Schizosaccharomyces pombe: one gene and its partners. The main gene of each other region encodes a partner of the protein of the gene in region 2 in a complex. Each region holds a gene or a part of one and is shown on either strand. Other genes may lie near its edges. The genes, in order: rad15, tfb4, ssl1 and tfb5.

What was found.
Region 1: tfb4 (region 2) and rad15 share a complex: the UniProt entries of both Schizosaccharomyces pombe proteins name them as parts of the 7-subunit TFIIH core complex.
Region 3: tfb4 (region 2) and ssl1 share a complex: the UniProt entries of both Schizosaccharomyces pombe proteins name them as parts of the 7-subunit TFIIH core complex.
Region 4: tfb4 (region 2) and tfb5 share a complex: the UniProt entries of both Schizosaccharomyces pombe proteins name them as parts of the 7-subunit TFIIH core complex.

What each region holds. Positions count from the first base shown.
Region 1 is NC_003424.3:660,221-669,929, forward strand, and holds rad15 (transcription factor TFIIH complex subunit Rad15 ), read left to right. Parts: upstream 1-4,127; 5' UTR 4,128-4,561; coding exon 4,562-6,880; 3' UTR 6,881-7,427; downstream 7,428-9,709. Other genes in the region: MAP kinase kinase Byr1, read left to right, coding at 7,933-8,955. UniProt on the Schizosaccharomyces pombe protein: ATP-dependent 5'-3' DNA helicase, component of the general transcription and DNA repair factor IIH (TFIIH) core complex, which is involved in general and transcription-coupled nucleotide excision repair (NER) of damaged DNA and, when complexed to TFIIK, in RNA transcription by RNA polymerase II.
Region 2 is NC_003423.3:1,314,403-1,322,250, forward strand, and holds tfb4 (transcription factor TFIIH complex subunit Tfb4), read right to left. Parts: upstream 6,175-7,848; 5' UTR 6,092-6,174; coding exon 5,281-6,091; intron 5,219-5,280; coding exon 5,136-5,218; 3' UTR 4,668-5,135; downstream 1-4,667. Other genes in the region: karyopherin/importin beta family nuclear export signal receptor Kap109, read left to right, coding at 1-1,781; ips1 (GIDA family tRNA uridine 5-carboxymethylaminomethyl modification enzyme), read right to left, coding at 1,974-3,974; double-strand siRNA ribonuclease Eri1, read left to right, coding at 6,338-6,417, 6,495-6,602, 6,664-7,069, 7,132-7,431; ERMES complex subunit Mmm1, read right to left, coding at 7,550-7,640, 7,685-7,848. UniProt on the Schizosaccharomyces pombe protein: Component of the general transcription and DNA repair factor IIH (TFIIH) core complex, which is involved in general and transcription-coupled nucleotide excision repair (NER) of damaged DNA and, when complexed to TFIIK, in RNA transcription by RNA polymerase II.
Region 3 is NC_003421.2:379,671-388,103, forward strand, and holds ssl1 (transcription factor TFIIH complex subunit Ssl1), read left to right. Parts: upstream 1-4,520; 5' UTR 4,521-4,802; coding exon 4,803-5,020; exon of another isoform or gene 5,021-5,150; coding exon 5,151-6,198; 3' UTR 6,199-6,377; downstream 6,378-8,433. Other genes in the region: srp68 (putative signal recognition particle subunit protein), read right to left, coding at 58-934, 990-1,153; SPOM_SPCC1682.06 (uncharacterized protein), read left to right, coding at 2,707-3,097, 3,143-3,468; meiotic pumilio family RNA-binding protein Mpf2, read right to left, coding at 6,454-8,433. UniProt on the Schizosaccharomyces pombe protein: Component of the general transcription and DNA repair factor IIH (TFIIH) core complex, which is involved in general and transcription-coupled nucleotide excision repair (NER) of damaged DNA and, when complexed to TFIIK, in RNA transcription by RNA polymerase II.
Region 4 is NC_003423.3:2,805,701-2,812,803, forward strand, and holds tfb5 (transcription factor TFIIH complex subunit Tfb5), read left to right. Parts: upstream 1-4,173; coding exon 4,174-4,380; 3' UTR 4,381-4,839; downstream 4,840-7,103. Other genes in the region: glyceraldehyde-3-phosphate dehydrogenase Tdh1, read left to right, coding at 1,937-2,947; SPOM_SPBC32F12.12C (golgi membrane protein involved in vesicle-mediated transport), read right to left, coding at 5,049-5,249, 5,372-5,556, 5,869-5,906, 5,957-6,027; protein mni1, read right to left, coding at 6,816-7,103. UniProt on the Schizosaccharomyces pombe protein: Component of the general transcription and DNA repair factor IIH (TFIIH) core complex, which is involved in general and transcription-coupled nucleotide excision repair (NER) of damaged DNA and, when complexed to TFIIK, in RNA transcription by RNA polymerase II.

The DNA of each region.
Region 1 (9,709 bases), on a different chromosome or scaffold from region 2:
TCTTTGGTAAAGCCACTTAGAAAAGGTGAAATTTGCATGAGATAATCATGTTTGTGAGACCGGAACAACATCATTGTTATTCTATCCTTAAAATAAAATAGCTGGAAAAAATTGGCCGGACGAGGGAACAACCCAACAATCACCATCCAGGCGCGTTGCGTTTGGCACCTCCTTCCTATGAAAAAGTATACACATTCCACAACACCATGTGCGCAGTATGCAACGTACCTAGCCGTCACCCAACTATAGCGTAAGAGACGCTTGCTACTCTGAAGGGCTGAGATCTACGAAAACCGCCATGGCCGTAGAGGCAGAGGCGCTGAATGAATTTTCATTAATTTAGATCACTAATCATTTACCATTCAAATGCCGCTCCATTCAACTCAACCATATTCACTTAAGGAGTTTTCGTAAGAAATGGCTTATCATTGTCATCATACCATTCAAACATCAATACACACCACACATACACACACACACAAATGTACACAAGCATGCACACTCATACACATATATAAACGCATGTTTACATAAATAGTTATAAAATTTACATATAGTTTTACGCATAAATAATGCAACTGTCATTCTCACCATCTCTATCCAACTCTACCTACCATGTACTATATACTGTATTATACAATGAATGCTATATGCCCGCTTATACTGTAGCTGCCTTGTCGCCCGCCCCATTTGTCCATGGTATAGTATTCCGCACAATTCTTTACCAGAATAGAAATGAAATATAGAAAACATGCCTTTTCAGAAGCGTTTCTCACACTTTCAACAAATGTCGTCCAGCCCATCTGCCAAATTCTCTTACCAAACTAGTCTTGATTATGGCCATCCGTCCTCGGTAATCGAATATTTCGTCCAAACAGCGACGCTTGGCCATCAAAAAATTTAGTGGATGACAATAATCTATGTAACAAATAATACGATAAAATTGCCATGATGAGTAACAAAACAACAAAGGCAATAATTCATCAACTATTGAATAATCATTTAATGGTCGCGAAAAGGAAACAAATATAATTTTCTACAATCAATCATCTACAATGACTGATGTTAGAGCTTGAAAACGGGATGTGAAAAATTCAATCAACATGACTTCAAATGGGGTGAGAAATTGTAATTAAGCAAAGGAAAAAAATAGGCAACAAGGCATGGTTGTAGCTGCAATTAAGGGACTAATGTGTCGTGAAACTCAAAAATGTAAAAAAAAGAATGACAATCCCCTTGCATAATTGAATTACCCGTTGAAATTTTTGGGAAATCCGGTTACTGCAGACGGAAGTTGAAAGTCAACTTTATCTCGGTTCTTTTTTTCCTTTTTTTTTTTTTTTGCAACTTCCTTACCGGCACGCAAGGTCCGTCGCACTTCTGGACCAGGAGTAAACTGCTTACTTATTGAAAGAACAAAGAAAATTTTAACCTTTCTTTAAATACGCTTTCTTTTCTTTTTCTTTTTTCAGGCTATTTTTTTGCTCCTCCCGTCATCCCTAATAGCTAGTCGGCTTTAACGATTATTATTTTAGGAGATGCTAAAGTGCAGATTGACGGTCTTGTTCGTAATTTGCAATCAGTCTATGTCATGATCCCTGACCTCAGTACAGTGGAAGCTGTCTGGCTGGCAAGGGTAAAGGCTAGTAAGTACTATCAATTATGTATGTCAGTTGTGGATGGGGAATTATTATTGAGACTTTTTACAAAGTGTCAAGCTCGAGATTTGGCCATTACATGTCGGTAAAGCAGCTGAACAGCGATATGCCGTTCATAAAAAAGCGTCAGCACAAGTGAAATCAAGTGTCATGACATGAAAGTCTAATCGGTTATTTGCAACATTAACCGAAACTTGTAGAAAATGCGCTCTTTGGCAGTTGAAAAACGCAGACATTACAGATGCTATAAATACATAGTATTAAAAACATAATAACAAATAACAATAACATGTTAATTAATCTTGCTATACATAGTAACATCTATAAAACGCAGTGTAAACAGAAATCATTTTGACATGAATTTCTTATGTAACAAATGAATCTTCCATCTTTAAAGGGAAATCCGATCGCTGTGTTCTCAAGTTATCGACTCCTTTTTCTCATAGCAAAGGCTGAGCAAGCAATCAAAGCTTTTGCTCCTAGGATTATCTAGGACGATGCAACTTCAACATTCGTTGAACGGACCGCATACCCATTTCCTAGGTTCAGGATTTAAGCTTTGTATTGTGTTGTGTGGTAGTACAATTAAGCAAAAAGGAACCGAACCGTTGGGGCTGAATATTGTTTTTCACTATCAAACAGGTAATAAGATATATATGAAGCAAGCAACTTATTTGTAAGCCTAGCTAAATGCTTTATCAATATAAACTCGAGGGAAATATTGGTAGCATAGTATTCCTTTAACTTTTCTTTTTTTTTAAATTAATTTTGATTTCACTTTTTAGTTAACGAAAAGAATTATTTTTTATTTAATAATGGCAAGCGGAGTTGTTTCAATCCAATATATTACATTTACCAGTAAAAAAATTCGATACTTTCCCTCCACCGTGTTAAATTGCTGCATTTTTTTGCATGTTACGGGATGTAAGGAAATAATCTCAAACCAGTCATCCTTACTTTGGTTTCCTACATTTAATGAGCCATGCCATCTATCCTCTATTTCAATACCTTCCTTCCCATTTTTTTCTGCTAAATCGATATGTTGTTTTTTAAATACTCTTTGTTATTAGTACTATATATGCACTATTGATTTTGCTAGCAATGTATTGTATTATTTGTATGTTTTGTAGAAAATAACCTACTCGCCAACCCAAAAATACCAGTTGTTTCCGACAGCGTCATTTATTCATCACACTTTTCCGAAAATCGGCTTTACAAGTCCCGAGTAAAAGTGAATCAAGAAACAGCTACCATGAATTTGATCAACGATTTTGAGTAACCACAGAAAAACTCAGTATGGCCCATTACGGTTGGAATGGGTCGTTGTTATGAATGCCATTTTCTTGTTACCGAGCGGCAAACTCCAACAGTATATTGTTTTGTAGCATCGCTAATGAATGATTCGTTAAGTTTGTTTTCGTGGAATTTCATGCTCTTCTTTTATACCCGAAAGCCGGATACTCGTCGATATACTAGATGTGTAGTGAGTTAATTAATTAGCCAGAAATTAGTGAATGGGAGAGATTTTTAAAATATCAAGATTGATCATTACTAATCATCTTTCATCTTTCACAATACTTGTCATCGATGATTGATAGAGATTGCCAAGAGACATTAGGTAAAATAAAACGTAACAGTTTTGACGATCTGCTGATTTGCTTGATGTCAACCTTGGGTATGTTTTCATTAAACATGATTGCTGATGGGTTTCATAATTCGTGAAAAATTGATAAAGCACTTTTCCTTATCATCTACACATAAGTGAACAGGCAAATCAATCCGTATTGTCTCCTCAACATACGGAATGTCATTAAAACCGGTAAACTGTACTAACCGGTGATTACGGGATAATAAAAAACCACTTCATTCATTTCAAAAACTGTTGATATAGTATTCTGTATGATTTCAAGAAGATAACTCTTCGGTGACTTGCTGTTTATTGCTCACCTGGCGATTCTAATTCCTTTTATTTTTTATCCTGATACGTATGTATTTGTTTTTCCCTCTTTAGAATAATATTCATTAAGCTTGAATAAGCGGTTATTAGTTTGCAAATGATTCAGCAGCTATATGTGAGTTTGCCCTTTTTCACTTGTCTACAGAGTCGGGAATTGACTTGTAAAACAAAATAAATGGAATATTGCAAATGTATTCTTTTTGCCTTGTGTTTATTTAGGAGTAGTATTGCGGAAACTTGTTTTCAGAAAACAAAGTAGCGCTTATGCTCGGTAACTACGAAAATACGAATTTTTTTTCCAATAAACTAGTATTTATTAAGCAATTGCATCTTCCATTAACCATGTCATTTCCATCAATGTATAGTTGTATGTACACCATGTATTTACGAATATTATCCAATTTAACGTACTTTACAGTATTTTGCTTATAAATGTTTACCGTACCAACTCAGCGTTCTTCATAATCCAGTTCTATATGCACTACAAATATAAAGCAGCCACTGTTAATTTCAGGACTCATTCTTTAAGCTTGGATCGACAAGTAGTTTCTCCTGAGATTCTCACTGTAAAGTAGCTCACTTAAACCTTAGGTCAGAATTATTTCTTGGTTCGTTTTGTTTTACCCTCTTCCATCCCATGTTTATTTATTTATCTTTGTGAACTTATTCATATTTGTGTATCAGTGATTGACGACTAAATATTGAACCAAAGCAGAACCTACCTCATTCTTATAATACCCATAAAAATTTATTTCTCGCTTTATTCATTTCATTTTTATGAAGCGATTGTTAAGCGATCTTTACCCACTATTATTCATCAATGCTAGTTCATAATTCTTTTGTTTCAACTTTTTATCTTATTATTTAATTCCTAAATTTTTTTTTGGTCCAATAGGCTGTCATATACTCAAATTAATTTCCTCAAAGTCAACGGATTACACCCATAATGAAGTTCTATATTGACGATCTACCTATTCTGTTTCCTTATCCACGCATCTATCCCGAGCAGTATCAGTATATGTGTGATTTGAAACATTCTTTGGATGCGGGAGGCATTGCGCTCTTAGAAATGCCTTCGGGTACTGGAAAGACCATTTCTCTTTTGTCCCTTATTGTTTCATATCAACAACATTATCCTGAGCATCGCAAGCTCATCTATTGTTCACGTACCATGTCGGAAATTGATAAAGCATTAGCTGAATTGAAGCGTTTAATGGCGTATCGGACTTCACAGTTAGGATATGAAGAACCATTTTTGGGTCTCGGACTAACCAGTCGCAAAAATTTATGTTTACACCCTTCTGTTCGTCGTGAAAAAAATGGGAATGTGGTAGATGCCCGTTGTCGCTCACTTACGGCGGGTTTTGTGCGGGAGCAAAGATTGGCTGGTATGGATGTTCCTACTTGTGAGTTCCACGACAATTTGGAAGATCTTGAGCCACACAGCCTTATATCTAACGGTGTTTGGACCCTTGATGATATCACAGAATACGGCGAAAAAACTACACGATGCCCCTATTTTACTGTACGTCGTATGCTACCGTTTTGTAATGTTATTATTTATTCGTATCATTATTTACTAGACCCCAAAATTGCTGAACGAGTTTCTCGAGAACTCAGTAAAGATTGCATTGTTGTTTTTGATGAAGCACACAATATTGACAATGTGTGTATTGAGTCTTTAAGTATTGATTTGACAGAATCTTCTTTGAGAAAAGCTTCGAAGAGCATTTTGTCTCTTGAGCAAAAAGTCAACGAAGTAAAACAGTCTGACTCAAAAAAACTTCAGGATGAATACCAAAAGCTTGTTCGGGGCCTTCAAGATGCTAATGCCGCAAATGACGAAGACCAGTTTATGGCGAATCCCGTTTTGCCTGAGGATGTTTTAAAGGAAGCTGTTCCTGGAAATATTCGACGAGCCGAACATTTTATTGCATTTTTGAAGCGTTTTGTAGAATATTTAAAAACAAGGATGAAAGTTTTGCACGTTATTGCTGAAACACCAACTTCTTTTTTGCAACATGTTAAAGACATTACATTTATAGACAAAAAGCCGCTTCGGTTTTGCGCTGAGCGACTCACTAGTCTTGTTCGTGCCTTACAAATTTCACTAGTTGAAGATTTTCATTCTTTGCAGCAAGTAGTAGCTTTTGCGACCCTTGTTGCTACTTATGAGCGTGGATTTATCCTAATTTTGGAACCCTTTGAAACAGAAAATGCTACAGTTCCCAATCCAATATTGCGGTTTTCCTGTCTTGACGCCTCAATAGCTATTAAACCAGTTTTCGAAAGATTTAGGTCTGTGATTATCACGAGTGGTACTTTATCCCCCCTCGATATGTACCCCAAGATGTTGCAGTTTAATACTGTTATGCAGGAATCGTATGGAATGTCACTTGCACGAAACTGTTTCCTTCCTATGGTAGTTACTCGGGGTAGCGATCAAGTAGCTATTTCTTCAAAATTTGAAGCCCGTAATGATCCTAGTGTTGTTCGCAATTACGGTAATATACTGGTTGAGTTTTCGAAAATTACACCTGATGGCTTAGTCGCATTTTTTCCAAGTTATCTCTACCTTGAAAGTATTGTTTCTAGTTGGCAAAGTATGGGTATTCTAGATGAAGTCTGGAAGTATAAGTTGATTTTGGTGGAAACACCAGATCCTCATGAAACAACTCTCGCCTTAGAGACTTACCGGGCTGCTTGCAGCAATGGCCGTGGAGCAGTATTGCTGTCAGTCGCTAGAGGAAAAGTCTCAGAAGGAGTGGATTTTGATCATCATTATGGTAGAGCAGTAATCATGTTTGGTATTCCGTATCAGTATACTGAGAGTCGTGTTTTAAAAGCACGGTTAGAATTTCTGAGGGATACGTATCAAATTCGGGAAGCAGATTTCTTAACATTTGATGCCATGCGGCATGCTGCCCAATGTTTAGGTCGCGTTTTGCGTGGAAAAGATGATCATGGAATTATGGTGTTAGCAGATAAACGATATGGTCGGTCTGATAAGCGTACAAAATTACCTAAATGGATTCAACAGTATATAACCGAAGGCGCTACAAATTTAAGCACTGATATGTCCCTCGCTTTGGCGAAAAAATTTTTACGAACTATGGCACAGCCTTTCACTGCGTCTGATCAGGAAGGGATTTCTTGGTGGAGTCTTGATGATTTGTTGATTCATCAGAAGAAAGCATTGAAGTCTGCGGCTATAGAACAATCCAAACATGAGGATGAGATGGATATTGATGTGGTTGAAACTTAATAGAAGCCATTTGTAAAATACTTTGATTCTAATCATCTTTACTAAGGCAATCCAAAACTCATGAACACAGCGATGAAGATATTTGGAAGCGAATGGCTAACTTTTTTGTAGGTGTGGACAATGTATGTATCAACTTGTATTCGAGAGTTGTATAGTGGACATTTCAATCGTCATCACGATACGCATGCTACTTACGAATTGTTTTAAGATCGCAGAGCAGAGAAAAAATATTATTTACACTCAGTTGGCAATTAATTTGCGAGTCGCTAAATTCGAAGTACTTTAAAATTTTTTTAGAGACTGTGTTCAAATAAAATCGGTTTCAGTTGTTGTAATGCTTCTTAAATTTTCCATCCCATCAATAACAATCCAGCGTTTCAAAGAGTGATTATTGGCAATTTCATGCTGCTATGGAAATTAAGCTTACATTAAGCGAGCTAGTTAAAATACGTGATGCAGTAATTGTAAGCCTAGTTATATAAACAAAACATCTGTTTATCATTTAGATACATAAAACAAAAGTTTACATATTCATAATATATTCTCATAATCTAAAAAATTTCCTTGATAGTTTTATGTCGATAAAATTAGTCTCCCATACTTAGTTCTAAATAAATGAACGTTTTGGGGTTGTACAACTGATTCATTGCTGTATTCTATGTAATATATAAATTTCTTGAAAATAAAAAATCTTTTGGTTTTACGGATTCACGGTTGGCTTATACGTAATTGCCAAGCACATATAAGATCAATGATGGTTTCTTTACCAAACTACTGTATAAAAAAATTACTCTAGCACAAAAAGGATACCGCTTTCAGGAATTCTTAAATATAGAAAAAAAAATAAGTGTAGCTTATTGCAAGGGTTGTCTCTAGTCACGTTGGGGTAGTCAGAATCCTGTCATAACTACTGCTTTGTATCTTTGATTAGCAAAGTAACTTATTGAATACAGTCAGCTGTCAAATTACAGAAAAAGAAGCAACTTTAATAGTATCTTAAATGATATAATCTTCGATACAGGTTTCTTTGAGAATTTGGCCAATAGCTAGAAATGTTTAAACGACGTCGAAATCCAAAAGGTCTTGTGTTGAATCCTAACGCCTCTGTTAAAAGCTCTGATAATGATCATAAGGAAGAGTTAATTAACAATCAAAAAAGCTTTGAATCCAATGTCGAAGCATTTATGGAGCAATGTGCGCATATGAATCGACGCCCAGCTTGGATATCTGATTTGGACAATAGCAGTTTGGAAGTAGTGAGGCATTTGGGAGAGGGAAATGGTGGGGCTGTTTCATTGGTAAAGCATAGAAATATTTTTATGGCTAGGAAAACAGTTTATGTTGGGTCAGACTCTAAACTTCAGAAGCAGATTTTGCGAGAGTTAGGTGTTCTACACCACTGTCGTTCACCCTACATAGTCGGTTTTTATGGAGCTTTTCAGTATAAAAACAACATTTCATTATGTATGGAATACATGGATTGCGGATCGCTTGATGCAATTCTTCGGGAGGGAGGTCCTATTCCGTTAGATATTCTAGGAAAAATTATAAATTCTATGGTGAAGGGTCTCATTTATTTATACAACGTTTTACATATCATTCACAGGGATTTAAAGCCTAGCAACGTTGTCGTCAACTCTCGTGGTGAAATAAAGTTATGCGATTTTGGAGTTTCAGGTGAACTAGTTAACTCGGTTGCTCAAACGTTTGTGGGGACTTCAACTTATATGTCTCCTGAACGAATTAGAGGTGGAAAATATACAGTCAAAAGTGATATTTGGTCTCTAGGAATCAGCATTATTGAACTTGCCACCCAAGAATTACCTTGGTCGTTTTCGAATATCGATGATTCAATAGGGATCCTAGATTTGCTTCATTGTATTGTTCAAGAAGAACCACCTAGACTTCCATCTTCGTTTCCTGAAGACCTCAGACTTTTCGTTGATGCCTGTTTACATAAAGACCCTACACTTCGCGCCTCTCCACAACAACTCTGTGCGATGCCATATTTTCAACAGGCTCTTATGATTAATGTTGACCTTGCTTCTTGGGCCTCCAACTTTAGATCCTCGTAAATGTGCAAAGGACGCAATGGATACATAAATTATGTTAGACCTTTAAACATCTTGTCGTCAAAAAGAAGGATTTCAGAAAAATCTTTTTAAATTAAACTTTGTCATGAAATGGATATTTTTGGTTCTAACCACACCTCTTCAATTATAGTGGTACAACACAATGTGGAGAACAATGAGATTTTGTCGTTGACGAATATTTCCGCTTTTTTCTTAATACAAAGCATTATTAGATCGGCCATAAATAGGTATCATATTTTGTTTATCAATTTTTTACTTCATTAAAGTGCTATGTAAATGCCCTCTTTTTTTGGTTATTCCATTATTAATTATCATTACGACTGTGTTCAAATGTAATTCTCGGTACACTGAATTGCTTTCGATTTAAGTCAATGAATGTTTTTTTTAACTACTTGAGTTACAGCGTCCACAATAGTCTGAGTTAAGTTTTACCCAAGCAAGTTAATCAGAGTCCTGCATGTCAAATCGCACAACTTCTAATAAACCAGATGATAAAAAATTAAAGCTTAAAGCCCGTAGTTTGCAAATATTACAATTAATACATAAACCATTCAGATGTAAAATTTAACGAAGTAAGCAATTATTATTTACTTGCCAGCTATGCAGTTTGGTATCTGTGTTAACGATACGTAGACTCCAAAGAGTTTTCCTTGTGACCTATTATATTGCAATATACAGGTAATATTTGTAGCTACAGGTTGTATGTATTATACTATCTAGATTATATTGTTACCTA
Region 2 (7,848 bases):
GATCCGCAATCGTTCTTGTTCGTGGACTTTTGGATCACTTTGATCAAAAAATTACGAGTGTAGTCTCAACTCACATCAATGCTAATCTTCAACAATTCTCAACAAATCCTTCTCTTGAATGGAATAAAAAATACGTAGCGCTTCAGCTCTTTTCGGCTATTGCTATAAAGGGTCAATCCACAAGACTCGGCGTTACATCTATTAATTTGATGGTAGACGTTGTTGCTTTTTTCGAGAATAATATTAAGCCGGATCTTTTACAACCTGCTGGCGTCATTCATCCCATGGTTCTTGCCGAGGATATTAAATATGTATTTACATTTCGCAACCAGCTAAATTCCCAACAGCTTATTGACATTTTCCCTACAATTTTACGCTTTTTGGAAATGCCCAGCTTTGTCGTTTACACATACGCTGCAATAGCATTAGATCAGTTGCTGACTGTTCGTCATAATCATGTTCATATCTTTACAAGTTTACTAATTGCTCCACACATATTACCCGCTCTAAATCAACTTTTCCTAATTGTGGAATCTGCATCCACACCACAAAAACTTGCCGAAAATGATTATCTAATGAAAGCAGTAATGCGAATTATTATTATGTCTCAAGAAGCCATTCTTCCAGCTGCTAGCCTTCTTCTTCAGCACCTCACAAAAATTACGGAAGAGGTTAGCAAGAATCCTTCCAATCCAAAATTTAACCACTATCTCTTCGAATCTATTGGTGCACTTATTCGTAGTTTATCTAAATCTGGTCCCCAAACCGTCTCTCAACTGGAAAATGCCCTACTTCCAGTCTTTCAAAATGTGCTTATAGAAGATGTTACTGAGTTTATTCCGTATGTCCTACAACTGCTATCTCAATTAGTTGAAGCTAGTGGCAATGAACCTCTTCCTGACTTTGTTGTCAATCTCATACAGCCGTGTTTATCTCCAGCTTTATGGGATTCAAAGGGTAATATACCTGCCTTAGTTCGCCTATTACGGGCAATGATATTTCGTGGTCCTCAGATATTTATTTCCAATAAGTTTGTTGAACCGGTTTTGGGAATTTTCCAAAAATTGATTTCTTCAAAGGTTAATGATCATTTTGGGTTTGATCTCTTGGACCGAGTTTTCACAGTTTTCAATGCTAACATACTTGCGCCTTATATCAACCACATATTCTTTTTGCTGTTAAGCAGATTAAAAAACTCGAGGACTGAGCGTTTCGTTCTGCGATGCACGATTTTCTTCTTTTTTGTTGCTTCTGAGCAAACGGGTACTTGCGGCCCAGATAATTTGATCCAAGGTGTTGATGCAGTCCAGTCTGGAGTATTTGGCCAATTGATGACTTCAATTATTCTTCCTCAAGCACAAAAATTGGCGCTTCCATTAGATAGGAAAATCAGTGCTCTTGGATTACTGCGACTTCTTACTTGTGATCTAGTACTCGCCCCAGACGCAATTTATGAGAATCTTATTATCCCATTATTAACTTGTATCCTCAAATTATTCGAAATGCCTATTGAACAAGCTCAAACAGATGCAGATGAAGAATTGTTTATGGACGAAATCGATGCTGATTCGATGTCATTCCAAGCTTCCTTTTCCAGATTGGCTACTACTGGCGGAAAGAGGGTTGATCCATTCCCTCAAATTACTGACCTTAAGCAGTATTGTGCTACGGAAATGAATCTTGCTAACAGAAATATGGGTGGACGTTTATCTCAAATCATTAGCACGCATCTTCCTGGCGACGGTCAAAGCGTGCTTCAATCATATGGTTACGTGATCTAATATTTATGAAATGAAAATCATCAGAAATCAACTTTCTTGATGTTTTTGTTTAAAAATTTGGGTGTAAATTTAGAAAATAAATGTTTTCATAGAGAAGCATTTATTAAAAATTGTATTTGGTTGTCAAATATTTTTTAAATGAGATTCATATCATTATTTTATCCTATTATATAGTGAAAATTAAGTCGAGAGTTATAAATTTGTAGATTGGTTTTCTTCGCTCGAATGCATATCATACATTGGCATATATACCTTTCGTAACCATGCCTCTTTTGCTGGGTTGTAATATGTATGGCGAAGTAGTCGAATAATAGTTCCTGGTTTAATCCCTTGAATGCGTTTCAGTTGACCAATTGTAGCTGGACGAATCGTCTTCAGCAGCATTAATTCTTCAGCCGAAACAGAATGTAAAGTATCAAAATCAAAATCTGAGGGTATTACTGTAGATTCATCTCTACAATTGAGTTGTTTATTTTGAGTACCTTGACGCTTTATATAATAAGTATACTTTCCCTCAATTATTAAACGTTGTAGTACCCTTTTGGGAATGTCCTTTAGTTTAGGAATGCACGAAATAACACAAAAAAGATCCAAATTTGTGAAGCTCAACAGATCCCAAGCACTTCTATATTTCCCGTCATTAGGAATCGGCATTCCTAGCTTTGACCATTGCTGAGGACTTAAAATGAACTCCTTGGCGATTTTATTGGAAAAATCTAACAAAGATTTAGTTCTTTGAAAGCTTTCCCAATGAGTTTGGTCGTCCAATAAACCTATACTTTGAGCTAATGGAGTCAATCTTAAATCAGCATTATCAGCACGTGTAGTTAACCTATACTCGCTTCTCGAAGTGAACACCCTATAAGGTTCTTTCACACCTTTTGTAATAAGATCATCGACCATTACTCCAAGCAAAGCTGTATTTCTCGGTATGTCTACTGGCTCACGACCAAGAGCACTTAAACCTGCATTTAAGCCAGCTAAGATACCTTGCGCTGCTGCTTCTTCATAACCCGTCGTTCCATTTATTTGACCGGCCAAGTACAAACCCTGAATTTTTTTTGTTTCCAGTGTTGCCTTTAGTTGGGTGGGGATAACATAATCATACATAACTCCATAAGCTGGTCTCACAATATTACAATTCTCCAGGCCTGGAATAGACCTTATTATATTGTGCTGAATTTCTTCAGGCATTGAGTTACTGAGACCATTGGGATACCACCAAGAATTGGGGTCCAATCCTTCCGGTTCCAGCCAAATAAGATGTCTTGCTTTGTGAGGGAATCTTGTAACCTTGGCTTCCAATGACGGGCAATACCTTGGAGAAAGAATATCACCAGCAAGCATATGGGGAGCAAAAGCGAGATTTTTCCTAACAATTTCATGCGTCAATTCAGTTGTATAAGTTCTGTAGCAAGAACGTTGTGGCAATGCCGGTGAAAAATCCCTTTCCAAATTTAAAAAACTAAATGTTTCTGGAATTTCGTCACCTGTCTGCTCTGTCATTTTTGATATATTTATGGGAGAGCTCAATCTGGGAGGTGTACCTGTTTTTAGTCGACCCATTTTAAAACCTAAATTGCTAAGACATTTACTCAAAGGCAATGAAGGTCGCTCGCCATATCGACCAGCAGCTAACTGTGTTAAACCAACATTTATTTGTCCTCCTAAGAAAGTACCAGTAGTAATGACTATACAACTGGCAGGAATAGCAGTGCCATCTTCAAGAACAATTGAATCACAAACTTGTTTACCATCGTCTTCTGTCAAAACATTAATAGAGACGGCCGCGCCTTCTCTAACTTGAAGATTTTTTCTATAAGTTGAAATAGTTTTTTGCATATTTTTTTTGAAGACCGACCGATCCATTTGTGCTCTGGGACTCCATACAGCTGGTCCATTCGATCGGTTCAACATGTGAAATTGAATTGCTGATTCATCGCAGACACCACTGACAACACCACCCAAGGCATCTATTTCTCGCATTAGTGTTCCTTTTCCAATCCCACCGAAAGCTGGATTACAGCTCATTTGTCCAATATTGTCGAAGGACTTTGTTAAAAGAGTAGTTTTCGCACCTAATCTAGAAGCAGCAGCAGCGGCTTCCACGCCAGCGTGTCCACCTCCTATCACTACGACATTCTTCCGGCGATTGAAGGAGGTGCAGAAATATCGCTTTGTTGTTCGAAACATTTGTTCACCCCAAATAAACTATTTCAAAAACATACATAAGGACCTTTTGTTAAAGTACCGACAAAAAAATGCACAAAATATATTTGAGTTATGCGTAAAGGTTAATGATAAATTTGTTGTTGAGGTCTTGCTGAAATAAAACGCTATATAGTCGGGAAAGAGCTGTTAAAAAGCACAGTCAATCAAAAATTCTAAAATTAGTGGAAAATAGACATTCAGGATGTCAGAAGTTTGTAATTGAATCTATCAACAGATTAGGCAATGGTTGTAATGCTCCTAAGGTTAATCAGACTAATTTACGTCTGAAATCTGAAGATTTAGAACAAATATATTACAACCTTTTTATTATTTTTCCTTTTTTAAAAACTATGAATATCTGATTGCAGAATAAACGAATTTAAGAAAATACTTTTTTTTTTTCAAGCTTGTCGTCACTTGTGAGTTTGAGAATATTCGGGCAAATAAAAGTAAACCGGCTCTATTAGTATGAATTATCAATCCGCGCTTTTATTGCTCAGTACAGAAATTCAGAGGTTGAGTTACATGTAAAAACCAAGATTCGTAACCTTACTACAATAATCAAACCAATTCATTATAAATTGCATTCATATAGATCTCAATGTAATATAACTTTTCTGATTAAAAAAGCTTAAAAAAAGCCATTGTTAAAATGATCAAGCACCAACATTAGAGATGCAATAGATTATAAACAGTAGAAAGGAAAGTTCCTGTGAAATAATTTCTGTCAGCATCTTCAACATTAATGATTCGTTAGTAAATTAATTAAAGAATAGTATATAATTTCGTCTTACTGCACTGTTTGGAAAAGAAAGAAGCCAATGCAACTTGAAGAAATAATAGAAGAAGCTCTAAGGAAATAAATAATAATAGGGTACGTTGGAATGAATTAGTTGCTTATACGTTAAGTTTCTACTTGTGGATGCCCCTTAAGGAAATAGTTTGATCCTTCCGAAAAATGTTAACATTTCAAGTGTATCAAAATGCCAGAAAGTAAAAATCGCCAAAAAAAAAGAGCTAGACTGTACAAATCACCAGGATAAGGAGATTTAGGTAATGAAAAACAGGGTTTCAAATATGATAAAGCTGTACACCCGGTGTGAGACAAAGAAATATATAGTTTAATAATAATATAACGAATTATCAAGTGTGCAATTTTTTTGACATAGGTTCTACCGTGAATTTGGTATGACAAGTAGAACAATGCACCCGTGGTTCACAAAATACTAAAGAGGTTAGCAAAAGGTCAAATGTTCAAAGCCTATCGTAAAGCTTTGTTACTACTTACTTGATAGACAAACTGAGCAAACAAAGCCAATATCCAAAACCTTTTTGTGGCAAAAACATGTAGCTCGAAAATCAACATTCGCTTGGTTTGGGGTATTTAAGTGTTTTCGAAGATTTTGATCCGGAAAAAGCGACATCATGAGATATTGTAGTAAGCCTTTGGGGTTGTCAACTTTTAAGTAAATCCCTCCTGTGGCATCTGCTGCTTGTTCTAAAAACAGGGTGCCTCCCTCAATGTTGCAAACGTTAATTGGAATATTTTTCTTTTGAGCACAAAATATACAATTCATAGTAGGAATATACTGAAGAGCAACATCACCAGTTAATGAGAAAATTAGAATTCGAGAACGAAGAGTATTTTTATTTTGAACTTGATTGATATATGCAAGGGCTCTAGATAGTGCTCCGGAAATCATCGTTTTTCTTGAAACTTTATCAGTCGAACTCATGAGTCGCTTCATCCCAGATAAAACTAAGTCGTCTACCTCACGAAACTTTCGATACGTATTTGCCTCCTTGGTAGGATCTACTTCTGCGACTTTTTGCTCAGGTGCAATCGAAGGGTATAGGTATTCAACCTTGTCCGAGTGTGAAGCTAACACAGCAACTCTATTATCATGATGAAAAGCTAAGTGTGCGTTTAGAAAAACCGTAATATCTGCCAGTACCTTGGAAACAGGCACTTTTTTGGAAAGGGAGTACCATGAGGCAGGATTTGCGTCTAATATAACTACAAGCAAACTGGGTGTATCATTTGCGTCTTCAGATATATCCCACGAGGCATTTTGTTTCAAAGTTTGAAATTCATCCATCCCTCTTTTTATAATGTGTTTTTTCTCAATGCTTTCCCAACTTTAATACAGGTAGACAACAACCCAGAAAAAGTGTAGGGTTCAAAAAAAGATTGCCAACAAAACAGTGTTATTTCAAAAACATTTATATTCCATTATAATGAAATGGTTTATCTAATGAAATAAAAGGTAAAGTAATTCCAAAAATATAAAAAATTTATGGAGTCGCCAGTGCAGATTTTAGTTTGGCCTTTTCCATGTGACGAGATGAACCAAAAAACACCGTCTACGGTAGAAGAAATTCGTATAGCACTACAAGAACTTGGGTTGAGTACGAATGGAAACAAGTATGTTACTGAAATTGAGAAGCAATTAGTCCGTTTTCTCAGAGTTTATATAAATTAATTATTTACACAGTATAAAGAGAAAAACTGAAACGGCGATGGAAATTTCGTGAAAAACGTCTTGAAGAAAAACGAAAACAAGAACGTTATCAAAAGTTTTCTACTAGTAATGAAAACAAAACTTGTTTGTAGGGTTAAATCATCAATTGTTTAAACATTTTCTATCTAACAGTAACTGAATACTTGTAGACGATACTTGCTAATTGTGGACGTCGAAGCTACATGTGAAGAAGGTTGCGGATTTAGCTTCGAAAACGAGATCATAGAATTACCATGTCTTCTATTCGATTTAATAGAAAAATCCATAATCGACGAATTTCATTCTTACGTTCGCCCATCCATGAATCCTACTTTGTCTGACTATTGTAAATCACTGACAGGAATTCAACAATGCACTGTTGATAAAGCGCCTATCTTCTCAGATGTCTTGGAAGAACTATTCATATTCTTGCGGAAACATTCCAATATTTTAGTTCCCTCAGTTGATGAAATTGAGATTATAGAACCCTTAAAGTCCGTACCCAGAACACAGCCCAAAAATTGGGCCTGGGCTTGTGATGGTCCTTGGGATATGGCGTCCTTTTTAGCCAAACAAGTAAGTGTTAATATAATTTTGTTCGGTTTGTCTCACATTTCGCTAACAAATCGTATTATCAGTTCAAATATGATAAAATGCCAATTCCTGACTGGATCAAAGGACCATTCGTAGATATTAGGTCTTTCTATAAAGACGTTTATCGCGTTCCACGCACAAATATTAATGGAATGCTAGAGCATTGGGGTCTTCAGTTTGAGGGAAGCGAGCATCGCGGAATAGATGATGCGAGGAATTTATCACGAATTGTTAAAAAAATGTGTTCGGAAAACGTAGAATTCGAATGCAATAGGTGGTGGATGGAATATGAGAAGAACGGCTGGATTCCGAATCGAAGTTACCCGCCATATTTCGCAAGCTAATGCTTAAAATTTTTATTTCGACTTCATAATCAATATATTTCGTGGAATCTGGTAGAGATAAATTATCGTTAAAATTCATAGATAAAAAAAATTTCCGAAAATTACGTCAAAAGAATGTTTAATCTTCATTAGATGACTCCTCTTGAGGTGCATGGGACCTCGCATGTCCTTCTTTTGCAGAGGTTGGCCATAGGTTGGGAATTGCGATCCTGTGGGAATTAGTTAGTATGAATCAATTCATACTCTCACTTACTGTTGAAACTGAGGAGAAACACAACGATTAGTAAACCATTGTCGAATCCTTGATTCGATCAATTGTGTAATTTTAGGAATGTCTTGAAGCTTTGACCTAGCTCCCACAAGAGAACTTACTTGTAGCGAGATCACGAAATTGGGGTCAAATGACAAGTTCATATA
Region 3 (8,433 bases), on a different chromosome or scaffold from region 2:
ATTTGTCCCTCCTTTCTCTTTAAAAATTATTTCTTCTGAATAAAAGCAAAGTCTTACCTTAATAATAGAATCATACAAGCTTTGACGAGATCGAAGCTGAGCTTGTGAAGCAACCAATTCGGAATCATTCTCAACTGCCAAGTCTCTTTGGATACGGAGCAATACTACATTGTAAGCCAAGTAAGTATAACAAATAGAGAGAGTTTGGAATTTTTGCTCGTCTTCAAGGCCTGTGTTATCAAGAACGCTTTTGGTAATTTCTTCTGCTCTAGCCCATGCAGCAAGCAGACGATCTCTTTTAGAGTCTATGGTTCCAGGAGAATTTTTGACATCGTGAATTGCATATAGAGCCAATACGACATCAGGATGCTCTATTTTTACTCTCTGATCTCTCCATTCAATGACTGTGATAGTTTGCAAGGAATCTTGTTCATCTCCGGTCATTTGCAATATTTCAGAATCAACGGAATTTACATGCTGAATTACCTCCTCATCCTTCGGTATACTTGACAACATCAAAATGTCTAATGACTTGGTCTGGTTTTGCAAGCCAGTTCTTTGAGCAACGTATCGTAAATTGGAATCAATTTGATTTTGGAGTTCTCCAAGTACACTCTTCTCATGTTCAGCAAGTGTATCAATTTTATTTTGCAAGACTAGGAATGAAAGTCGAGAAATACTAAAAGCGCTCAAAGAGCCTTCCCAATCTCGTTTCTCGTAGTTTAGAGTACCCTCGATATATTTGGCAAAAGCAATAGCCTCCAAATAAAAGATATGATCGTTGCAATCAAATGCATTCGTAAAGGAAACCAACTCTTTTCCAAATTGATCTGCACGTTTTAATCTGCGCAATGCATGTCGACGTTGACTAGATCGCAAAAAAACAAATTGTTGAAAAGCACGATCAGCATTGAAAAGTAAAATTTCAGCATATCTATAACAAAAGAAGTACATAATTAGTCAATCGGACATTAGCATAATCCTCTTACCTTTTGTCTACTGAAGATTTTGGTTTCCCACCTCTCTGTGTAATATGAAGGGATTTTCGTAATCCATGAATGCGATGGGACAAATATTTTATGTACTCATTTCCTTCATAAAAATGATCAGATCTGGCTTCCAGTAATAAAGGAAAAATATAAAAATTAGCCATTTGCTTAATCAAACCAGAAAACAGTACTTCGCCGGTGCCATTTTTGAGACATAAACCAACGGTGCTTAGATTATCGCATCCTAGGCGTGAATCGTTAAACTGCAAGTTAACGATCACTATGCTATAGTTCATTACTTTAACTCACATTATTTGGTAAATATCTAAAAGCTATTATTACCAAGGACGTTGAAAGCTTAACATGCGGGTCCATTAATTACTAATTATTAATTGAATTTGGAATTTAATATCCACTTCTTAAAACGGGCTGTCTGCATATCTTCATTGTCCGATTCCACTTGTTTCTACGTCGCTTGCTTTAGATCTCTTAACTAAATATTACTAAAAGAGATACTGTTATTATATTAGACCAAAAAAAGCAATTTAAGTATACACTTTTGTCTTACTAAATATTCTCATTAATCGTATTCATAGCATGTTTATAATCTTATAAAAATTGATGCTAATTTCAACATTATAAGGCCACTGAAGGAATTCTATCGCTAAGCTCATAGATTACTAAAGATTATGAATGCGGCATACTATATAATAACTGCCAAATTAGTAGTTTACAATCTCTCCAAACTACTTAGAAAATGCGTTGAGTTTGTAGAAGAAGTATATTGCGTTATACAGTATTGTGAGTGGTGGGTGATAATATATTTATCATTGTAACAGCTAATAACTGGACTGAGAATGATGCTCTGTTTCAATCTAGACTTCTAATTTTAACTACTATTTTATATCAATATCAATGGATGTTTTAGTAAACAAACATATAGTCTTCTGCTATTGTTCAACAAATTGAGATTAATTGGTATGTAAGCTACGCAGTTTGGTATCTGATTTAAGGATACGTAGAACTGCGGTGAGTTTTCCTTGTGACCTATTATATTACAATACACAGGTTGTATAAGTAGCAACTGAGTATAGGTATTGTATTAACTGGGTTATAATGTTACCTATCACTAATATAGCTCATAACTGAACTGAGGAACGAGGTTCAGCAGTAGCTCTATTTATAGTATTCAGATAATATTGATCTTAATAGATTATCATTAAGATCAATCTCCATATCGTATCATACATGGTACGATATATAATTAGAACATGTGACATATAGTGATACTCAACGTAGTGTATCATAGCGTAGTGTAGTATTGCTGACATGGTATTCCATGTAGTGTATTTTGATGCGTAACGTAATGTTTAATAGCGATTTTAGTGTAGCTCACTGTCTAGCAATTAGTGTTGCATACTTTTCAAAGTATGATAAAACGAAGCAAGGCATCGCTATTATAGCGTATTGGTACGCAGTACCTAATTAATGCTAACTTGTGCGTAAATTGATATTGACAGCACAATGATTCAATTTCATTCCTTAACAAGAGCCATCTCTTTTTGTTGGATGCTTAGAACGCGTGGATTTTTAGGCTATTCAAGCGTTTGGTTTTGATCTATTTATCTATTTTATATTTTAATTTCGCATTTTATTTTGCAATGTTCAAGTTGAAACTCAAACGTATATAATCACTATTGGTAAAAGGCTCTTCAAAATGCCAGACGAAAAGTTACCTCAATACAATGAAGTTTGGAATGATTTGGAGAAGGGTTGTTTACATTCTTGTCCTTCATATTCAGTCAATAATCATGTAAACAATCCAATTGTCAAACAAAACTCAACATTAACACAACCATCGTTACGAAAAAAAAATACAATGGCTGCACCTGCTAGATTAAGAAAGCGTTCGGAAAATGTGCGACTTACACAAGCTAGATATGCGATATTTCATATCTTCCTTCCTTTCATTCTTACTTTATTGCTTTATCATAATTTTTATAATTATTTCGATCAGGCATTGGCGGATCTTAATTCTGTGGTTAAATATGTTATTGAAACTATAGTGTTAATATTTACATACGTGATGACAGTGATTATTGTTTATTGTAAGTTTTTGAGATGATTTGAATTCATGACTAACGATTTTCTAGTTTCATTTTCGTTAATTAAATTAGCGTTTGAAGAAGCTTATGTTTATGCACCGTCTGTAGCTAAAGCGAATGAAGGTCTAGCTAAAGCGATTGCAGGCCTAGCTAAATATGTAGCTAAAGCAATTCAAGGTTTGGCTCATATTATTTTATCCTTACTGTTGTTTATTCTCGGGCTCGAAGTAATAGAACAAGATGAAGAGACTGGCGACGTTGAAATGTCGTCTATGCGAGGCCAAGCAATTACCACAGAGCCAGCAAGTGACAATACAATGGCTGAGGAAACCGATTGCAACACTTCTAAAGATGTAGAATCGGGCAGCAACTAAAAGTCATGGCTAGAGAAAAAAATCAAGGGGCTGCCAACAGTTGCGAGGGTTTTTTTTATTTCATCACTAATTTTCTTACTTTCTTGCAAAAGTCACTTTTCTCCTTTATTTCTATTCCTTGTATTATTATCTTATATGCATCATCACTTAATCATTTTCGATGACAGTCATCACTATTTTTGTCTCTGTTATAGAGCAAACACGATGTGTATTTGTGGTGCTAGGAAAATTCATTTAACTAATGAATCTGTTGTCAATTATAGATTAATCATCCTCTTTATTGTTTTACCAAATTGATATACAATCCTTAATTGTGACTTTGTAAGATTTGCGACTTAAAAAATTGTTCAATTAAGACATTACTCAAAAGATGCAAAGTAGTGATTTAACCTTTTTTTTTGTTGGATATATACGAAATAAGGATTCCATTCATCATTCTCAAGTTTTGGAGTTTTAAAAACCAGTATATACAGCAAATATAAGTTGAAATTTGTTTCTAAGACAAATAAAAACGAAAAAATCGACCTTGGAGTAGAACGAGAACTTCTTAAACAATGCGATTTCGCAATTCCTAGTCAGTAGCCAATTTCTGTTCGAGAAAATCAATTAAATGAACTCTTTCGTCCTGCAAACCATCCAACATTCAGCCTAAGCGAAAAGTAATTATTCTTCTTATGTCCATATCACTTGTAGCTTTACATAAAATATTGGCAATTACGCAGTTTGCAAATTTCTAAGTCTCTACTATATTGCAATATGCAGTTTGTACAAATAACCGAGCCATAAATAATTTTATAAAATACGATATATAACTCATCCTTAAAGAATGAGGAGTACAGATTTATTTTATATTCTTCTTTTACTTTCATAATTTCCTAAGTTTTTTCAAATAACAGAAATAGTTGTATACAAATTTCATATCACAAATCAAAGACTGATAAACACGAATTAACGCAGCATAACGAAATTCATTATTATATTTAACAAATAATGGTTGCGCTCCTTGTCCGTATTGTCTTCGTGTAAATGGTCTCTTGTTCTAGTACTTACTTAGTCTTACCATTTTACTGGTATGCCCAGGAGTCATTGCTTTTTAAAAAAATAAAACTAAAAATAATAAAAGAAAGAACTTTCGCTCATTGCATGTAAAGCAACTCGACGCGACTATTCAAATTACCAAAAGTTCACTGGGTAAAACGTGACTTGAAGAAATACATTCGCTTTGAGTTCTTTAGTCTGTAGAAACCAAGGAATAGAATTTGTGCAATATTCATTTATCTAATTATCAAATAGCGTTCTGGCATAATACCTATGCTCGGTTAAAATAACACTCAATGAATGAGAACCAAAAAAGTTTTGACTCTGACAAGTCGGAAAGCGAGGATGAACAAAAAAATGGAAGAGTTAAAGTAAGAAGCAGGAAAACTGACGATAATGAGGGTTATACTTGGGAAGGTGAATATCAGCGTTCTTGGGATATCGTACAGGAGGACGCAGAGGGTAGTTTAGTAGGCGTTATCGCTGGGCTTATTCAAAGCGGGAAACGTAAAAGGTATGGCGTATCAAAATTGGTTTTCTTATGTTCTTCATTTGTTTGTTAGTTGCCTATGTTGGGCATTTGGAAACATATTAGTCTTTTATAGCATCGATGAACGGTATACTAACTTGTCAATCTGATTTAGACTTCTTAGAGATACAACTCCGTTACAACGAGGTATTATTAGACACATGGTCTTGGTGTTAGATTTGAGCAACTCTATGGAGGAGCGTGATTTTCATCATAAGCGGTTCGACCTTCAGATAAAGTATGCTTCTGAATTTGTTCTTGAGTTTTTTGAACAAAATCCTATTTCCCAATTATCGATTATAGGCGTAATGGATGGAATCGCTCATCGGATAACTGATTTGCATGGGAATCCTCAATCGCATATTCAGAAGCTTAAATCTCTTCGAGATTGTAGTGGAAACTTCTCTCTTCAAAATGCTCTCGAAATGGCTAGAGCTTCTTTATCACACATTGCTTCCCATGGCACTAGAGAAGTCCTTATCATTTTTGGTTCCATCTTATCATCAGACCCTGGCGACATTTTCAAGACGATTGATGCTCTGGTTCATGATTCTATTCGTGTCCGTATCGTTGGTTTGGCTGCTGAAGTCGCCATTTGTAAAGAAATTTGTAATAAAACTAACTCATCTACGAAAAATGCCTACGGCGTAGTCATCAGTGAACAACATTTTCGCGAACTTCTACTCGAAAGCACAATACCTCCTGCTACTGATTCGGCTAAAACCACTGATGCTTCTTTGGTAATGATGGGATTTCCTTCTAAGGTCGTTGAGCAATTGCCAAGTCTTTGTGCTTGCCATTCAATTCCGTCTCGTGGTGGGTTTCATTGTCCTCGTTGTAAAGCAAAAGTTTGTACTTTACCGATCGAATGCCCTAGTTGTTCTCTCGTTCTAATCCTTTCAACACATCTTGCTCGATCTTATCATCATTTGTTTCCATTGAAAAACTGGAGCGAAATTCCTTGGTCCGCAAATCCAAAGTCCACTCATTGCTTTGCGTGTCAGTTACCTTTTCCGAAGCCGCCGGTTTCACCGTTTGACGAATCTACTTCATCGATGCGGTATGCATGTCCCTCGTGTAAAAATCATTTTTGTTTGGATTGCGATGTTTTTGCGCATGAACAACTTCATGAGTGTTATGGATGCCAATGCTCCGGAAATTAAAGTTTCTTTTGGTATATTAATGAACGCATTTATTTATAATAATTATTTTAAAATACTATTATGCTACTTATTCACAAATATGTAAAGAGATATATATTTCAATTTACTTATTTAAAGAGATCGTTGCTTAACTACCTTATCCGGAAGATAGTGAAAATTTGATCTATTGATGCTTCAGTAAGTGTTAGAGCTGTATCATATATAAAATAAAAACTAATTAAAATGTGGAAATGAATATATCCCTATATTTACAGATCAGAGGTCAGTATTGCAGTTGTAGTTGATTACAGAGGAAACCTGTTTTTGAGAATTCCATTTCTCGACTAAATAAGCAACCTTCTGACCGTACTTGCTTCCCCGAAGAGAAACCATGTGCTTTTTTATATGCGTAATGACAAGGTTTTTCTCAGCTGGTTGACCAAGTTGAATTATTTGCTGAATTAAATAGTTGCCATACTGATCAGATGCAATATCGATTAAAGGCTGCCTTGTTCGGTCAACTCTCGCGTTTGTAATTTGTTTTAGATATAAGGAAATGAAATTTTTTGGGCCAGACTTAATTGCTTTTTCAATGACCTTAGAGGCAAATTGGTCAATACTAAATTCCACTGCACGATTCAATAATGCATCAATGACTCTTTTCAAATCCTCTCCTTGTCCGTTTTCTACCATGTGTTGCACCACCCAGTTTCCCCATTGACCACGTGCAATACCGTCTAAATGAAAAATGATTTCCTCAATGCATTCACGCTTATCTTTCTCTACACAGTTCTCAAACATATTTTGGACTACGAGACTTCCATTTTCCCCGACTGCAACTTCGTGCCATTTTCCTCTCAAGGCATTGTTTACGCGATTCATGACATTAACTGGATACTCGTACCATTGCGTTTCAAACAATTTTTGCCAGACATGGCATGCATAGTGGTGCATTATTGTAACATCAATAGTGAGGAATAACTCGTCCATCATAGCCAGTTTAATATCTTCTGTCACATTATCTATTGCCTTTTGAACAACGTGGCATCCGAAAGGATCTGTTGCCAATTTTAACATATTTCCCAACATGGCAGATCCCATTTGTCGAATTTGTGGGGCAGTGCCATGCTCAAAACATCTTTGAACTAAGAAATTCCCAAAGCGGTTAAGCATCAGAGGATGGATTTGAGATATTATGGAATCAACAATGTTTTGTTTCATATCATAAGAAGAAATTTTCAGCTTCTGTTGAAGGAATATCGAAGATTGCTGATCATTGCTTACAATAATTTTATCAATTATAACATTCCAATCATATACAGCATTCCTTTCAGAGATTTTTCTGTATCGGGCAGCTGGTTCTCTTGAAGAAGTAGACTCGGGGATGACAGATGGGTTCGAGTTATTCATAGTTTCCCATATGGACTGTAAACTGGCGGCACTATTTACTCCTTTCGAGTACGAAGAACTCCGAGAAGAGCTGAGTGAGTATGGCTTTAACGTGCCAGACGTATTCGTACTCAAGTTATTTGTGGATGCCGAGAGATTCACTTCATTCGACCAACTATCACGGTTCTTAACTGTATAAGTTCCAAGATCGACATCCTCTGGAGATAATGGTGTTGACGGTTTAGAATTGCTATATCGAACATTGGTACGGATCGATGGTAATGAGTTATGGGATTTTAGCTTGCAATTGTCCGATTGGAAATTAGCTAACGAAGCCTCATAAGGGTTAAAATTCGAAGAAGATATCCATGGTGAAACTGAAAAACGAAATTTTGGATCTCCGTTTCTATTAGAGTTCAAATTTTCCTCAGAAGAAGATGCAGACAATATATTTTCACCTGTTACGTTTTTGACTGCTGTTCCAAATACAGGAGCATTCGTGGATTTAATACTGTTCGAACTTAATTTTCGAGAATAATTCAACGAACTTGAAACATCAGCCAAAGCAGTTGCCGAAGGAACAGACAAAGAATCCTGCAATGACATGCTCTTAGGAGCTGAAGTTGCGTATACTGCATGCTTTTTAGTCCCAACAACAGGTCGAACTAATTCTACAGAAACAGAGGTAGATGGGTTATGAGCAAATGCATCATTTTGAGAAGAAGCCCCATCAGACATGATATTTGCATTAGACAAGAGCGTTTGTAATTCTTCAATATGTTTCGTTTTGGTACACAAATCTCTTTTCTGATTGTCGATCTCTCGTTGTTGACGTTGAACAACAGTGCTTAATGCATGGAGTTTCTT
Region 4 (7,103 bases), 1.5 Mb from region 2:
GGTGGAATGGGAGTGTTGTAAGTAAAGCGATATTGCCAAGTACGTTTGGAGACTGGAGCAAGTGATGTATCCTGAAACTGTTTCATTATAATGCATATTTTATTTGTATTGTGTATATGTATATGTATGTGTATGTTTTGCTTTCCTATCAAAACGAAGAAGAGCGGATTTTCGAGGCAAGGCCAAGAAGCGCTTTGCCGATTACGTGACAATCGTACACTATGTTATTGATACAATTTTGCTTATGATGCACCATTATGCCTAGAAAAAAATAGAAGCGACGACGAAATGCCGACGATGTAAACGAAGTGTTTGACAACAGCCACCTTGTTAAGAAGGTAGAGAAAAGAGAGGAAACAGAGTGGGAGCGAGAGAGAAAAAAGAGGAAAAAAAGAGAATGGGCAAAACACCGAGTGTTAATAATGGAAAATGGAAAATGGGAATGTACAAGGTTAGAAGAAAGTTGGAAACAAAAAAGTTGAAAAAAAAAAGTTGGAAATGCAAGTAGATTGTGAGTTGAGTCAATGTTTATTACGAGTCGATACTCAGTTTGAATCGATGCTCATTTGAGTCCCTGCTCGTTCGTTGGTTTTGGGAATGAAATGGCAAGTCAAAAAATTACGCACAAGGAGAATATGAGATTCGTAACGAATGTCTCTTTTCGCTAAAAGACAAGAACTATGGTGGAGTAAATTCCTCAATTCACATCATGGAGCTTACGTGGAGCAATGCAGTGTATTAGTACGAGTGGTGCACTGTACGTCGACATGCCATGTTTGAGCAAGTCAATGCTAGCGTTGAAATTGCCTGTGGATTGCATTGCATGTATATGCCACACTGTTGGCGTAGCGTGAAATGATGATGAATGTTGATGAGATGACGGGAGAATTCAATTAGTAAGGATGTTTTGGCAGATGTGAGAAGGTTTGGACGCTGTAAAGTATGGAAAATCAAAATTCCTGAATTTTTGTAAACTCCCATACAAATACGATTACACATACATACAAAAATGCAAATAACAAAATATACACGCACGCATGCACACTAAATAAACAAACTGTGCGTCCATTCCTTTTATGCACAAACGTTGAAGCTCAGGACATCGCACCAACAATCACTCATCTCTTCTCTCTCTACCCACTTTCCACCCACACCCACAGTCTGCATCTGTTTGACGACTGTAGCTCAAGCATCAGTAGCAGCCGCTGTCATCCTCAACTGCTGCTGCTGATGCTGCTTGAATGTACGCATGATAGCAACGACGCACCGCTCTACCACTACTACCGAAGCGCCATCATCACCTCCTCACCTACCATCGCAATCGTCCTCTCGAAACTCTTCGACCGCTTTCACCCGGCTTCCTGCAGGTAACAATGCGCTCGGCGCTTGATTAAAAGAGGCCAGAGGCGATAAATGACTCAGGGTGCATTTGGCCTCGCTACGAAAGGACCCTGTCTTGTGATTTTTCCGTAGCCAATGGACAACCGCCTTGTCAACCTTTTGACTTTGGAATGTGCTAGCAATTCCTCCTTCCCCCTGACTTCAGGTGACAAGGCTTGCATCACGCTGAGGTAGGCGTCGGAAAAACTTTCCTCACAAGGCTGACGTCATGGAATGTGCAATCAAAGTCAGGAGCGGGAACGAGGCAGATTACCAACGAAGCAACGACCATCTCGGAACAACTTGCAAAGAAAGTCAAGGAAAGTTGGCACCACATCACGATCGCGCACCTTCTCCAATCACCTTGCTCCTTAGTTGTTCCGAATCGAGTGCGAGGCAATTGTGGTAAAGATAGTCGGGGGAAACCCTTACCCCATTCACACCACGGCTGATGGCTGCTGTGTGGGATGGAAAGGTATAAATAGAGGCAGGCGGTGCCTAGCATCGCTTCTGTATAGATCATTCATCCATAGTATTGATTTACACTTGATTCAAAATGGCAATTCCTAAGGTTGGTATTAACGGTTTCGGTCGTATTGGACGTATTGTCCTCCGTAACGCTTTGGTCGCTAAGACCATCCAAGTCGTTGCTATCAACGATCCTTTTATCGATCTTGAATACATGGCCTACATGTTCAAGTACGACTCTACCCACGGTCGCTTCGATGGCTCCGTCGAGATCAAGGATGGTAAGCTCGTCATTGATGGCAATGCCATCGATGTCCACAACGAGCGTGACCCCGCCGACATCAAGTGGTCTACCTCTGGTGCTGACTACGTTATCGAGTCCACCGGTGTCTTCACCACTCAAGAGACTGCCTCTGCTCACTTGAAGGGTGGTGCCAAGCGTGTCATCATCTCTGCTCCTTCCAAGGACGCCCCCATGTACGTTGTCGGTGTCAACGAGGAGAAGTTCAACCCCTCTGAGAAGGTTATCTCCAACGCTTCTTGCACCACCAACTGTTTGGCTCCCCTTGCCAAGGTCATCAACGACACCTTCGGTATCGAGGAGGGTCTCATGACCACTGTCCACGCTACCACTGCCACCCAAAAGACCGTTGACGGTCCCTCCAAGAAGGACTGGCGTGGTGGTCGTGGCGCCAGCGCCAACATCATCCCCTCCTCCACTGGTGCCGCCAAGGCCGTCGGTAAGGTTATTCCCGCTCTTAACGGTAAGCTTACCGGTATGGCTTTCCGTGTCCCTACCCCCGATGTTTCCGTTGTTGACTTGACCGTCAAGTTGGCCAAGCCTACCAACTACGAGGACATCAAGGCCGCCATCAAGGCTGCCTCTGAGGGCCCCATGAAGGGTGTGTTGGGTTACACCGAGGACGCTGTTGTCTCCACTGACTTCTGCGGTGACAACCACTCCTCCATCTTCGATGCCTCTGCCGGTATCCAACTTTCTCCTCAATTCGTCAAGCTCGTCTCTTGGTACGATAACGAATGGGGTTACTCCCGCCGTGTCGTTGACTTGGTTGCCTACACTGCCGCCAAGGACAACTAACTAGCTAATCATCCCGATGCTAAGAAACGTCGGGTGGGTGCTTAAAGGCAATGCAGGAAAGTCTTTTGGAGTTGTTTTCCCCGTTTTTTCTTTATGTTAGACAAAGGAGTCGTTGTCGTTTGCAGTGCGGGAGTTTTCTTTTTTAGATTTTCGCATTTTTTTTGTGGACGCGCACTCTATGTGAATAAATAGATGGATGACTTTTTTACAAATTTCCTCTGTTCTTTGATACCCTCCTTCTCATTCATTGTTGCATATATTTTTTTTAATTTTGTTGCAGTGATGAGATGGCTGAGCGTTTGTTTTTGAACTTATAAATACTTATAAATAAATTTTATGATTTTGATAAATACTTTTTTTCGTTTTGGTTTGTGATACGTATAGTTTGCCTGTCTCCTTTTGTAAATGATCTTCTTTTGTAGTCTTGTGTAATCTCTTTTTCATTTGGTCAACTTAAGTGAATTTTTTTTTGTCAGTTTCCTTGTAGGATATTATGTCAAAGTCTTATTTATACTATATATTATTGCTTTGGTGGTGAGTCGCATTTGTGGGGACGGTGTTACTTTACTGATGGATTTAGGTAGGAGGCATCCACTGTCCCCCATTTCGCTAGCTTAAGTTTAATATGAAGATGCACTTAAGCATGAACGCCCGTTTTGATCTTTTTCACTTGTACCGCGAAGAGCTTGTTTTACTGTTTTTCCGTCTGCATCCCGAGAACTAGTTGATCTCCCAATGCACACTTTAGACTTTATTCAAACCGAAGTCGGTTTTGTAATTTAAAAATTTTTACCCACTGTAAAGTACAAACAATTCATCGCTATGTTAGTTGTGTACGCTACTAGCGCATCACATGATTACATGTTAATCAACAAAAACGAAAATGTTTATTGTCAATCTAAAAATACATATGTCCGTTAAGACAAAAGTATGAGGCTGGATGGAATGAGCAATGGTAGCAAAAGGTTTCCGAAATGGTCATATCATTTTTTCAATTTTTGCTGATCTCAAATACCTCAACTTGTTTTATTCATATAAATAATTTGTTTTTGCATATAATCATAATAATCAAATTCATTACCATCTTTAACACAACAAACTTGCATGATATTTATTCTTGTTTGCTCTTACATTCGGCATCCAACGATCATGGGTAACTTGATACCTGTGGCTTAAGGAGCTTGTAGCATGCCATGATTCTGCTGGCAGACACCAAATTTGAGGCAATGCCACGCGCACAAAAAGGCTTACTCTTGGTTGAATGTGACCCAACCGTTAAGCAATTGATTTTGAACATGGACGAACAGTCTCCTGGTATCGTTATCGAAGAGATCGATGAAGAACGATTGTTAGTAAATGAAAGTCGACTAGAACAGGTGAAAGCAGAGTTAGAACGACGCCTTGAGGAAAATACATATCAAGTTGAAGAGTAAGAAGAGATTAGTATGACGAAAGTTTTCTTTGGATGATGAACTGAATGTTTCAGTCGATGGACGAACCTAATATTGTACGATTAATGGATCATTCAATGTCAACGATCTATGATCATTTTCTCAATTTTAAATTGTAAAAAAATTTTAAAATAATGCAAAAAAGAAATTAATTCTACCTTTTATTTGGATATGGGTGAAAAGGTTGGTTTATTTTTTAATGACTTGACGTTTGTGTCAAATTACATAACAGTACCCAAAACTCGTGTACCGATGGGCAAAAATTATGAAAGGAGCCAGCTGATTTTGTATTTTTTGAAAATAAGTTTTGAATATATTGTTAACTACGCCGAGCTATTCAGTAGTTGCTTGCAAGTCTTTATTTAATTTTTAGTATTGAATGAAAGTTTATACTATTTGAATATACTATACTATCTATATAATTAATATGTATAATAAGAGAAATGTTCTTCTTTGTCTAACGATATTTTTATGCATTCCTAATTGAAACTTGGTGGTGTTTCTAGAAAGATAGTTCAGTTCATACGCGTGATAACTTTTTCAACACCGGGAACTGGAAGAACATACAACAAGGAAAAGGCATAGTTTCATGCTTGTCCTATAAACAAATGAACAAGGAAAAAGATCAATAAAGATCAATTTTGCATATTCTAAACCATAGTGCTGGGAGGTGTTTCGGTCGTGATACCTGTTCCACCAAGCGTGGAACTTGAAGTAAAAGCCTGACCTTTAATACCGGCAAAGGTGTAACATAAACCAGTAAGAGCGAGCACAATGCCGGTGGCAATAAGACTAGTAGCCATAAAGATGCAACTGAGAAAGGTTACCACGGAAAATATAAAATAGACAAGCTAAAAGAGTTAATAAACACTGTATGTAAAAGACAGCAGGAAGGCAACAAAGGAATTAAAAATATCCAGAGGCATGCTTTTTCCCCTGTGTGCCTTTCTTAAAAGAAACTATAACAACTTACACCACGGTAATAATTGCTAGCAAAAGCATTTGTAAAAGCCTGGAATTTGTCTGATACAGGGCAAATACGAGAAAGGAAAGGAAGCTCAATAAAAATTAATAGAACGCCCTCAATGATAGTCAAAGCTGAGAAAAGAACGACAAGGGTAACGTGAAAAAGGTTGACAATACCTAGGATAATGCAAACTGAAGGTAGTAGGTTAGCAGATCTGCCTTTTAATGTTAAATGTCAATGGACCATAATTTGTGTGCAGTGAAATGAGAAGTAATCTGATTCAATAAACTTGATTGTCTGCAAAATAAAAAAATTGAGGGACATATACATTCTCATCAAACCAAAAATACTTTTGAACACTCACTTGCTACACCTTAACTCTTTATGCTCATAAACTCTCTTCACAGCTATCAGAAAGTACAAAGCAATCAATACAAGAAGAAGAGAATATCACAAACATTAAAAAGAATAACCAAATTACGCGATTGAAATTCTTTACATACGAAAAATTGAGAGAATTCCAAGCCACTGTGCATAAATACTACAATAAGTTAGTAACATTTCGCTGTTAAAGCAACTGATTTCGCATACGAAAAATTGTAGCTTTTGAGCTCTCCCAAAAACGTTGTCTTTGCTCTGTCAACTATTATAGACTCAAACATGTTGAAAAGTGTAGTTCAGAAATCGTCTTTGTTCTGATGCTGGTTAGATGTCAGTTCATGTCAGTTTATGATGTTTAGCTCGTTGTTATTTGGCGAAGCGAAATTAGTATTTGTTATTCTTTTTAATAACAAAGTGGCACGCAGCGTCAGGGTAACCCAAGTAACAGTTCGAATATGTACTATAGTTAGCTAGGTAAACAAACAATAGCCAGTTGTAAACAATCATTTCATCCATATTTCCGAATATGTAAGCTTTTTAATAAGTTATACAATCTCTATAGTTAATACGAGACTAGAAGTACTAATGAATTTAAGTTTTCTTTAATTTAAAATCAACTGTAGCGACAAAATTTCCTTTCCAAGAATTCACATCACTATTTAAGTAATTTGTTGAAATAGTACATTCAAAAAAACCACAATTATGTTTGATAACGTTAAGCTACCATTTCTTACTGCTAACCAGCAATACAACAAAGGATTGCTTTCAAAGCATTATGCAATTATTTTTTCCCTTAATAATTACATATTATCCAAAGAGTACACATTGCAAAAGATAAAGCAGAAACATCATTGCCCATTTTCTTCTTTGTATGCTGTTCTCGCAACAAAAATCATATCACTGATGAATACAGAAGCAAATAGATGAAATTATTTCAATGATTGTTAATTAAGGACGATAAAATAGCTGCTCTCCATTTTTTTGCTTTTCATTAGCACTCCTGCTTATTTTTTGGGTTTCTTCTCAGCGGGTGTCAAATCTGTAATCATTGTGGTTCACTAGAGGACAGTTACTCTTTTTCCTTGTATCCAGTTTTTTTATCAACGGTATTTATGGATTTCTTATTTTCTCTCTTGCTCATCTTTTCTGAGTAGACACTAGGTTCACTTGTTTTAGAAAGCGGTTTCGCGCCTCTTCTCCATTCTGGAGCTTGAGTTTTAGGGAAATTATACTTAAAGTCTTTTTTAGAATCTATTGAAGAATAAGTTTTATCCAGATGTTTAACAGAATCCTTCGAGATACGCTTTTCGCCAACACTATCATAATCATGCTTTAAACTCTCCGCTTTATGATCATT